Linked DNA regions of Callithrix jacchus. The protein of the gene in region 1 interacts with the protein of each later gene in a biochemical or structural test. Links are inferred from orthologs where the notes say so. Each region holds a gene or a part of one and is shown on either strand. Other genes may lie near its edges.

The links. The genes of interacting proteins can lie anywhere in the genome.
Region 2: the proteins of RBPJ (region 1) and SPEN form a complex in vitro, tested with the Homo sapiens proteins (2 studies listed by BioGRID and IntAct). The link is inferred for Callithrix jacchus from reciprocal best matches to the Homo sapiens genes RBPJ and SPEN.

What each region holds. Positions count from the first base shown.
Region 1 is NC_133504.1:167,408,904-167,412,813, reverse strand, and holds part of RBPJ (recombining binding protein suppressor of hairless), read left to right. Parts: coding exon 1-125; intron 126-488; coding exon 489-592; intron 593-764; coding exon 765-1,080; 3' UTR 1,081-3,910. UniProt on the Homo sapiens protein: Transcriptional regulator that plays a central role in Notch signaling, a signaling pathway involved in cell-cell communication that regulates a broad spectrum of cell-fate determinations.
Region 2 is NC_133508.1:53,273,215-53,278,186, forward strand, and holds part of SPEN (msx2-interacting protein), read left to right. Parts: coding exon 1-3,739; intron 3,740-4,603; coding exon 4,604-4,972. UniProt on the Homo sapiens protein: May serve as a nuclear matrix platform that organizes and integrates transcriptional responses. In osteoblasts, supports transcription activation: synergizes with RUNX2 to enhance FGFR2-mediated activation of the osteocalcin FGF-responsive element (OCFRE).

The DNA.
Region 1 (3,910 bases):
AGATGATAAATGATGGCGCTTCCTGGACAATCATTAGCACAGATAAGGCAGAGTATACATTTTACGAGGGAATGGGCCCTGTCCTTGCCCCAGTCACGCCTGTGCCTGTTGTAGAGAGCCTTCAGGTGAGACCATCTAATCCAAATTGGCCTTTAGCTCTTCTTTGCAGTTACTCTTAGCTATGACTTGGCATCATTTCATTTCATGGGAGTTTTGATTTTTTTCCCCCAATTGTGTGATTTGGAGATTTTAACATACACCATTTGTTGATTAAAAAAAAAAAAAAATTAGAAGGAGCATACTTGCCAGGAAATTTAAATGGAAATAAACTTGTTTGTTAAATTGAAATGTTTTTAGCTAGCTTTGTAATAAAAATCATTTAATTGCCCTTTTTGTAAAAAACAAATGAAAGTTGAATGAATCTAATTTGTGTACTTTAATGAAAAATGAAAAGTTTTCTCAGTGTTGTGATTTTCTGTGAATTGCAGTTGAATGGCGGTGGGGACGTAGCAATGCTTGAACTTACAGGACAGAATTTCACTCCAAATTTACGAGTGTGGTTTGGGGATGTAGAAGCTGAAACTATGTACAGGTACTTGATAAAACTTTTTACATCATCCAGAGGTTGTGAGGGGTGTGGGTACAGGAGAGTCTTTGTCCTGGCATTGATTACAATGTATTAAACAACCTTGCCTTAAGTCTCATTTTAAAAATGTAGTTTGCTTTTTTAAAGTGCTTTTAAGTGATTTATATTTCCTCCTCAGGTGTGGGGAAAGTATGCTCTGTGTCGTCCCAGACATTTCTGCATTCCGAGAAGGTTGGAGATGGGTCAGGCAACCAGTCCAGGTTCCAGTAACTTTGGTCCGAAATGATGGAATCATTTATTCCACCAGCCTTACCTTTACCTACACACCAGAACCAGGGCCACGGCCACACTGCAGCGCAGCAGGAGCAATCCTTCGAGCCAATTCAAGCCAGGTGCCCCCTAATGAATCAAACACAAACAGCGAGGGAAGTTACACAAACGCCAGCACAAATTCAACCAGTGTCACATCATCCACAGCAACAGTGGTATCCTAACTACCGTCTTTTTGCTAGGACTTAAATTGACTTGAGTGTGGCAAACAGTTGACAAAAAAGGAGAAAAAAAATGAACAATCTTTTGTGGTTTCTTGGGAAAACTTTTCATACCAAGTGATACTATTCAGAACCCCATTATCTGTCTACAAGTGCTGATTTGAAATGCAGAAGCCACAGTAAAACAAAACAAAACATCAAAATGTACAAACTATTGGAAATCAAGTTTTCAGCAGTTTTGTTGGTTGGTTGGTTGGTTTTTCTTTGGTTTTGTTTAAATGGGCAAGAAGTAAATAATGTGGCTGGAATACAAGTTGAACAAACTAGAAGACACAAATCTAACATAGTTTTTATGGACCAAGGAACTTGTATATTGTATAAGCTTTAGTAAAAGGTACATTTTCACCATACCTTTTTTTATATCACGGTATTATAGTACACCTTGTTACCAAATAGGTTGTTCTCTTCCCCGCCCACCTTTGAGCTTTTGCTCTAAAATACATTCGGGTTCCTAGCCTGACCTTGTTTAATCTAATTATCATACTCTTCCAGGTTTTTTTTTTTTTTTGATCTAAGGCTGGAACTTTTTCTTTTCTTTTTTTTTTTTTTTCGGCTGAAGTCTTACGACTCTTCGTGAGTCAAAATTGTTTGGATTTCAGCAAGTCAAATCTTGTAAAGGCCTACATATTTTTTTTTAAGATTATATGAAGTCTGTGCAAAAGCTTTAAAAAAATGCCTCTGCCTTGCCTGCAATACATGCAATGTATGTTAACTTAGTCTCTCTTCTCAGACACTGTTGGTAGTTACTTCTGTGTTTGCCTTTAAAAAAAAAGGATTTATAATGGTTGTCCAAGAGGTTCTAACATTCACATGCAATTTGGTGTGGCCATTTAGCCATTAATGAGTTAATGGCACAGAACATGTTGATATTTGAAGTATTATTTCCCCTTTTCCCATAACGTAAATACATACGTGTGTTCCAGGATTTGTTCAGGTTTCCCCCTCCTAATCTTGTACATAACTTGTATTATGTGTAAGTTAAACATTTTATTTTGAACTTGGAATGTTCCCAGTGATTTCATTCAGCAGGGTATTTTCTGCCTTGTTGGCAAGTGACAAAAAATATGAGAAGTATTTGCTACCAGTTGGTAGATGGTGCCCTTATGGTAGAATGAGGAAAATGTCAGCAAAAGCATGTTTTATTATCTTTACTTTTTGGGGGGGTTGGAGGGGTAGCCTAGGCCAGAAGATCATTGTAATCTTAAAACATAAGATGCTTTTATTAGATGATCAACTAAAATAGCTGGAAGACAGTACTTTAGAGACAAATAGTTGTAAGATTATAAAATGCAAATGTAACTTATGTTTTCACTTCTTTCTCTGCCTTTTTTTGTTTGTTTTCTCTTTTCTAATACTGAGCATCTCCGCAAATGTCTCCTAACTCAGAAAATGTTTCTTTTCTTTTCAGCTGAGATTTGGTTGCATTCAGGGTTGTATGTTGGCCTTGCATGCTAAACTCGCCAGTTTTACCTCGCTTTCATTCCTGAACGTTGGTTATACTTTTGTTTGGTTTCTTTGAAATTGCAGCAGACTCGTTGGGCTGTATTTAGTACAGGAACCATGTGTGTAATGTTTATGACACAGTCTCGTAATACAATCATCCTTCTTAGAGTAAAAACTACCTCTAGATTGTGGTAAGCTTTTACTGTCCCATAAAACAGGAGCCACAGTACCTTTTGAATGCAAAACTGTAACTTCCTTCAGCGTTTCTGTACAGAACATTGTCTTTCTGGTGTCTTGGGCTGTTTTGAAAAAGTTTTCATTAATAGACTTTTTAGAAATTATTAGTAGTATCATTTTTTCTTCAGCTTTGCTGTCTTCACACTCACTCTTTGCTCGGACTATGCCACTGTAAATACTCTTCCTGACATCTTTAAATCGCCTTTTCCTCGGTTTTCAAGGGGAAAGTCATTCGTAAAGCACGTTAGGTGGTTAAATCAGTTATTGCGGTTTTCTCTTACTGCAAGCCTTTTTAATCACCCCCCGGGCTGTATTTTATTCTATATCGCCTTTTTTCTTCAGATCTGCTCCAGTCACTCGCTTCTCTATTATAAGCTAATCCTGCCTCACACCTTAAATCTGTTTCAGTGATCAAGGGCAGAACTCATTGTGGCCTTATCTTTCTTTGTCGTAACTGTTCACCGTCTCTTACTTACAGACCGCTTACTTCTGAGTAGTAGTTCTTCCTCTCTGTGGAGTCATGGCAGGAGTCATTACGCAGTGCTTTTGTTCAGAGCATGAACATGTTCCTAGTGCTGCTTTTCTTTTAACGGCCACAAGTTTCCTCCACTTCCTCGGTTTGGTATTTAGTTAAGGAATCATATTAAATTAACCAATAACAGAAGAGATACTTTTGAAGAACAAACTCTTCCTTACCCAGCTTTGTAGCTCAAGAATAATTTTTCAAGTTCATGACTTTCTTAAAATGAACTTGTGCTTTTTTAACAAACATTTATGTCTCATTTTGTTTTCTTTCAATAAGATAATTGAAATATTAGATTGTAAACCCCTTTCTCTTTTTTTTGAAAAGTCCAAGAATGTACTTACACAGGCATTTTTCCCCACTTATTTTTGGCCATTCTCATACCACAGACTAGAGTGAAATGATTTGTCTATTGTAGCTTATTGTTCATCAGTAGTTCTTTTGTCAGCTGCTTAAAATCTTTTTCCATGGCTTTGTGAATCATTTTCAGTATATAATTTATAGGAACCTTGTCCTCTGGTTATAGTAGACTGTGCCCCTCCTCCAGTGATGGCATTATTAGACATGCTA
Region 2 (4,972 bases), on another chromosome or scaffold:
GGAAGCTGGGGTGGTGGCCGTCTCCCCTGAGAAAAGTGAGAGTCCCCAAAAGGAGGATGATTTATCCCAATTGAAAAGTGATCCAGTTGATCCAGACAAGGAACCAGAGAAAGAAGAGGTGTCTGCCTCTGGGCCGTCCTCAGAAGCAACGCAGTTGGCCAAGCAGATGGAGCTGGAGCAGGCTGTGGAGCACATCGCAAAGCTCGCTGAGGCCTCTGCCTCTGCTGCTTACAAGGCAGATGCACCAGAGGGCCTTGCTTCAGAGGACAGGGACAAGCCTGCACACCAAGCAAGTGAAACAGAGCTGGCTGCGGCCATTGGCTCCATCATCAATGACATTTCTGGGGAGCCAGAAAACTTCCCGGCAGCACCTCCACCTTATCCTGGAGAATCCCAGACAGATCTGCAGCCCCAAGCGCAGGCGCTGCAGCCTTCTGAGGAAGGAATAGAGACCAATGACGCTGTGTCTGGCATCCTGGAAACTGAGGCTGCTACAGAATCTTCTGGGCTACCAGTCAATGCTCCTGGCCCCTCAGCAGGCCCAGCAGATACCAAGGAATCCAGAGGAAAGAGCAGTGAAACCTCACACTTGGTGCCGGAAGCCAAAGGGTCCAAAGAAGTGGAAGTTGCTCTTGTTCGGAAAGAGAAAGGGCGCCAGAAGACAACTCGATCACGCCGTAAACGGAACACAAACAGGAAAGTGGTGGCTCCTGTAGAGAGCCGTGTCCCTGAATCTGACCAAGCTCAAGGTGAGAGTCCTGCTACAAATGAGGGGACGACAGTACAGCACCCTGAAGCCCCACAGGAGGAAAAGCAGAGTGAAAAACCCCATTCCACTCCTCCTCAGTCATGTACTTCCAACCCAGGCAAGACTCCGTCTACAGAGAATTTGTCCCAAGAAATCAGTGTTGAGGAAAGGACTCCAACCAAAGCATCTGTGCCCCCAGACCTTCCCCCAATGCCCCAGCCAGTGCCAGTGGATGAGGAGCCTCAAGCCAGATTCAGGGTGCATTCCATCATTGAAAGTGACCCGGTGACTCCACCCAGTGACCCAAGCATGCCCATACCCACGCTGCCTTCTGTAACTGCAGCAAAGCTCTCACCTCCTGTTGCCTCGGGGGGGATCCCACACCAGAGCCCGCCTACTAAGGTGACAGAGTGGATCACAAGGCAGGAAGAGCCACGGGCTCAATCCACCCCATCTCCAGCTCTTCCCCCAGACACAAAGGCTTCTGACATCGACACCAGCTCCAGCACCCTGAGGAAGATTCTCATGGACCCCAAGTATGTGTCTGCCACAGGTGTTACTTCCACGAGTGTCACCACGGCCATTGCAGAGCCTGTCAGTGCTGCCCCTTGTCTACAGGAGGCTCTGCCCCCTCCAGTTGAATCTAAAAAGGCTTTAGAAGAAAAAACAGCAGCTCCAGTGACTAACAACTCTGAGACACAAGCCTCGGAGGTGCTGGTAGCTGCTGACAAGGAAAAGGTGGCTCCAGTCATTGCTCCCAAAATTACTTCTGTTATTAGCCGGATGCCTGTCAGCATCGATCTAGAAAATTCACAGAAGATAACCCTGGCAAAACCAGCTCCTCAAACCCTCACTGGCCTGGTGAGTGCCCTCACTGGCTTGGTGAATGTCTCCTTGGTCCCAGTGAATGCCCTGAAAGGCCCTGTGAAGGGCTCAGTAACCACACTGAAAAGTTTGGTGAGCACCCCTGCTGGGCCTGTGAATGTCCTGAAGGGGCCCGTGAATGTTCTTACGGGGCCAGTGAATGTTCTCACCACTCCAGTGAATGCCACGGTGGGCACAGTGAACGCCACTCCAGGCACAGTCAATGCCGCTGCGGGTGCAGTGAATGCCACAGCAAGTGCAGTGACCGTCACAGCGGGTGCAGTTACTGCTGCATCTGGTGGTGTGACAGCCACAACAGGCACAGTGACAATGGCAGGGGCAGTGATTGCACCATCAGCAAAGTGCAAACAGAGAGTGAATGCTAATGAAAACAGTCGGTTCCACCCAGGGTCCATGGCTGTGATCGACGATCGTCCGGCAGACGCAGGCTCAGGGACGGGGCTGCGTGTGAACACTTCCGAAGGGGTTGTGCTCCTGAGTTACTCAGGGCAGAAGACTGAAGGCCCACAGCGGATCAGTGCCAAGATCAGTCAGATCCCCCCAGCCAGTGCAATGGACATTGAATTTCAGCAGTCGGTGTCTAAGTCCCAGGTCAAACCTGATTCTGTCACGGCATCACAGCCTCCACTCAAAGGCCCTCAAGCTCCTGCAGGCTATGCGAATGTGGCCACCCACTCCACACTGGTACTGACCGCCCAGACATATAACGCCTCTCCTGTGATTTCATCTGTGAAGGCCGATAGGCCATCCTTAGAGAAGCCCGAGCCCATTCACCTCTCGGTGTCCACACCTGTCACTCAGGGAGGCACAGTGAAGGTTCTCACCCAGGGCATCAACACGCCCCCTGTGCTGGTTCACAACCAGCTGGTCCTCACCCCAAGCATTGTCACCACGAACAAAAAGCTTGCTGACCCCGTCACCCTTAAAATCGAGACCAAGGTCCTTCAGCCGGCCAACCTGGGGTCCACGCTCACACCCCACCACCCTCCTGCTCTGCCCAGCAAACTGCCTACAGAAGTGAACCACATCCCCTCGGGGCCCAGCATCCCAGCAGATCGAACTGTCTCGCATTTGACAGCTGCAAAGCTAGATGCTCATTCTCCTCGACCCAGCGGACCCGGGCCATCCCCATTCCCAAGGGCAAGCCACCCTAGCAGTACTACATCCACTGCACTCTCCACCAACGCCACGGTCATGCTGGCCGCAGGCATTCCAGTGCCCCAGTTCATCTCCAGCATCCACCCAGAGCAGTCTGTCATCATGCCACCCCACAGCATCACCCAGACTGTGTCCCTGAGCCACCTGTCCCAGGGTGAGGTGAGAATGAACACTCCCACGCTGCCCAGCATCACCTACAGCATCCGGCCAGAAGCGCTTCATTCTCCTCGGGCTCCACTGCAGCCCCAGCAAATAGAGGTCAGGGCCCCACAGCGTGCCAGCACCCCACAGCCAGCCCCAGCTGGTGTGCCTGCACTGGCCTCCCAGCACCCTCCTGAGGAGGAAGTGCATTACCACCTTCCCGTCGCTCGAGCCACAGCCCCTGTTCAGTCAGAAGTCCTGGTCATGCAGTCTGAGTACCGGCTGCATCCCTATACCGTGCCTCGGGATGTGAGGATCATGGTGCATCCACATGTGACGGCAGTCAGTGAGCAGCCCAGGGCCACGGATGGGGTGGTGAAGGTGCCACCAGCCAGCAAGGCCCCTCAACAGCCTGGGAAGGAAGCTGCCAAGACACCAGATGCCAAAGCTGCCCCCACTCCCAGCCCTGCCCCCACCCCCACCCCTGTCCCCGTCCCCGTCCCTGTCCCTGTCCCTGTCCCTGTCCCTGCTCCTGCCCCTGCCCCTGCCCCTCCTCCTGCCCCTGCTCCTCATGGTGAGGCCCGTATCCTCACAGTCACCCCCAGCAACCAACTCCAGGGGCTGCCTCTGACCCCCCCTGTGGTGGTGACCCACGGGGTGCAGATTGTGCACTCCAGTGGGGAGCTGTTTCAAGAATACAGGTACGGCGACATCCGCACCTACCACACCCCGGCCCAGCTCACACACACTCAATTTCCTGCTGCTGCTTCTGTTGGCCTGCCTTCGAGGACCAAGACAGCTGCTCAGGTGAGTGAGCCAGGGGTCTCCCCACTGTCTTCTGGGCATATGCCAGTGGGATTCAGCAGGCTTTGAAGCAGAGATGTGTTAAGGAAATCAGGGCTAGGTGTAGTGGCTCGTGCCTGTAATCTCAACACTGTGGGAGGCCCAGACAGAAGGACTGCTTGAGCCCAGGAGTTCGAGACTAGCCTGGGCAACATGGCAAAACCCCATCTCTACAAAAAAAAAAAAAAAATACAAAAATTAGCTGGGGGCAGTGGCACACATCTGTGGTCTCAGCTACTTGGGAGGCTGAGGTGGGAGAATCACTTGAGCCCTGGAGGCAGAGGTTGCATTGAACCAAGATTATGCCACTACACTCCAGCCTGGGTGACAGAGCGAGACCTGCCCAGTCTCAAAAAAAAGAAAGAAAAAAAAATCAGGCTGGGCATCTGGGCGTAGTGGCTCCCGCCTGTAATCCCAGCACTTTGGGAGACTGAGGCCAGTGGATCACTTGAGGTCAGGAGTTCAGCCTGGCCAACACGGTGAAACTGTCCATACTTAAAAGTCCACCTTTTGGTAAAGATAGTGGGTGAGTACAAGTGAATTGGTCAGCTATCCCTAAAGATGATCTTTTCATGAGTTTAAAGAGCTTTCTTAGTTCTGAGATGAAAGGATTAGATCAGATCATGTCATGGGGAGCTCTGCATATTGGGAGGGAGCTCTTCTTACTCTGAGAGCAGCTCCATTGATTCAGGCTCCTTCTGCGGGCCTGACTTGACAGGAGATGCCACATCTGACCCTTTCCCTGTGGCCCTTTGGGTCATTTGTTGGGCGCAGGGGTTTGTGCACAACAGACTGACTCTGTCCCTTTGCCTTCCTTCCTGACCCCAGGGCCCTCCTGAAGGTGAGCCCCTGCAGCCTCCTCAGCCTGTGCAGTCCACACAGCCTGCCCAGCCCGCACCACCCTGCCCACCCTCCCAACTCAGCCAGCCCGGCCAGCCACCAAGCAGCAAGATGCCTCAGGTGTCCCAGGAGGCAAAAGGGACCCAGACAGGAGTAGAGCAGCCTCGCCTCTCAGCTGGACCTGCAAACAGGCCACCTGAACCTCATGCCCAGGTTCAGAGGGCACAAGTGGAAACAGGCCCCACTTCCTACCCCTCCCCCGTGTCTGTCTCCATGAAGCCTGACCTTCCAGTCCCTCTTCCTGCTCAGACTGCCCCAAAACAGACATTGTTTGTCCCAACAACCTCTGGCCCCAGC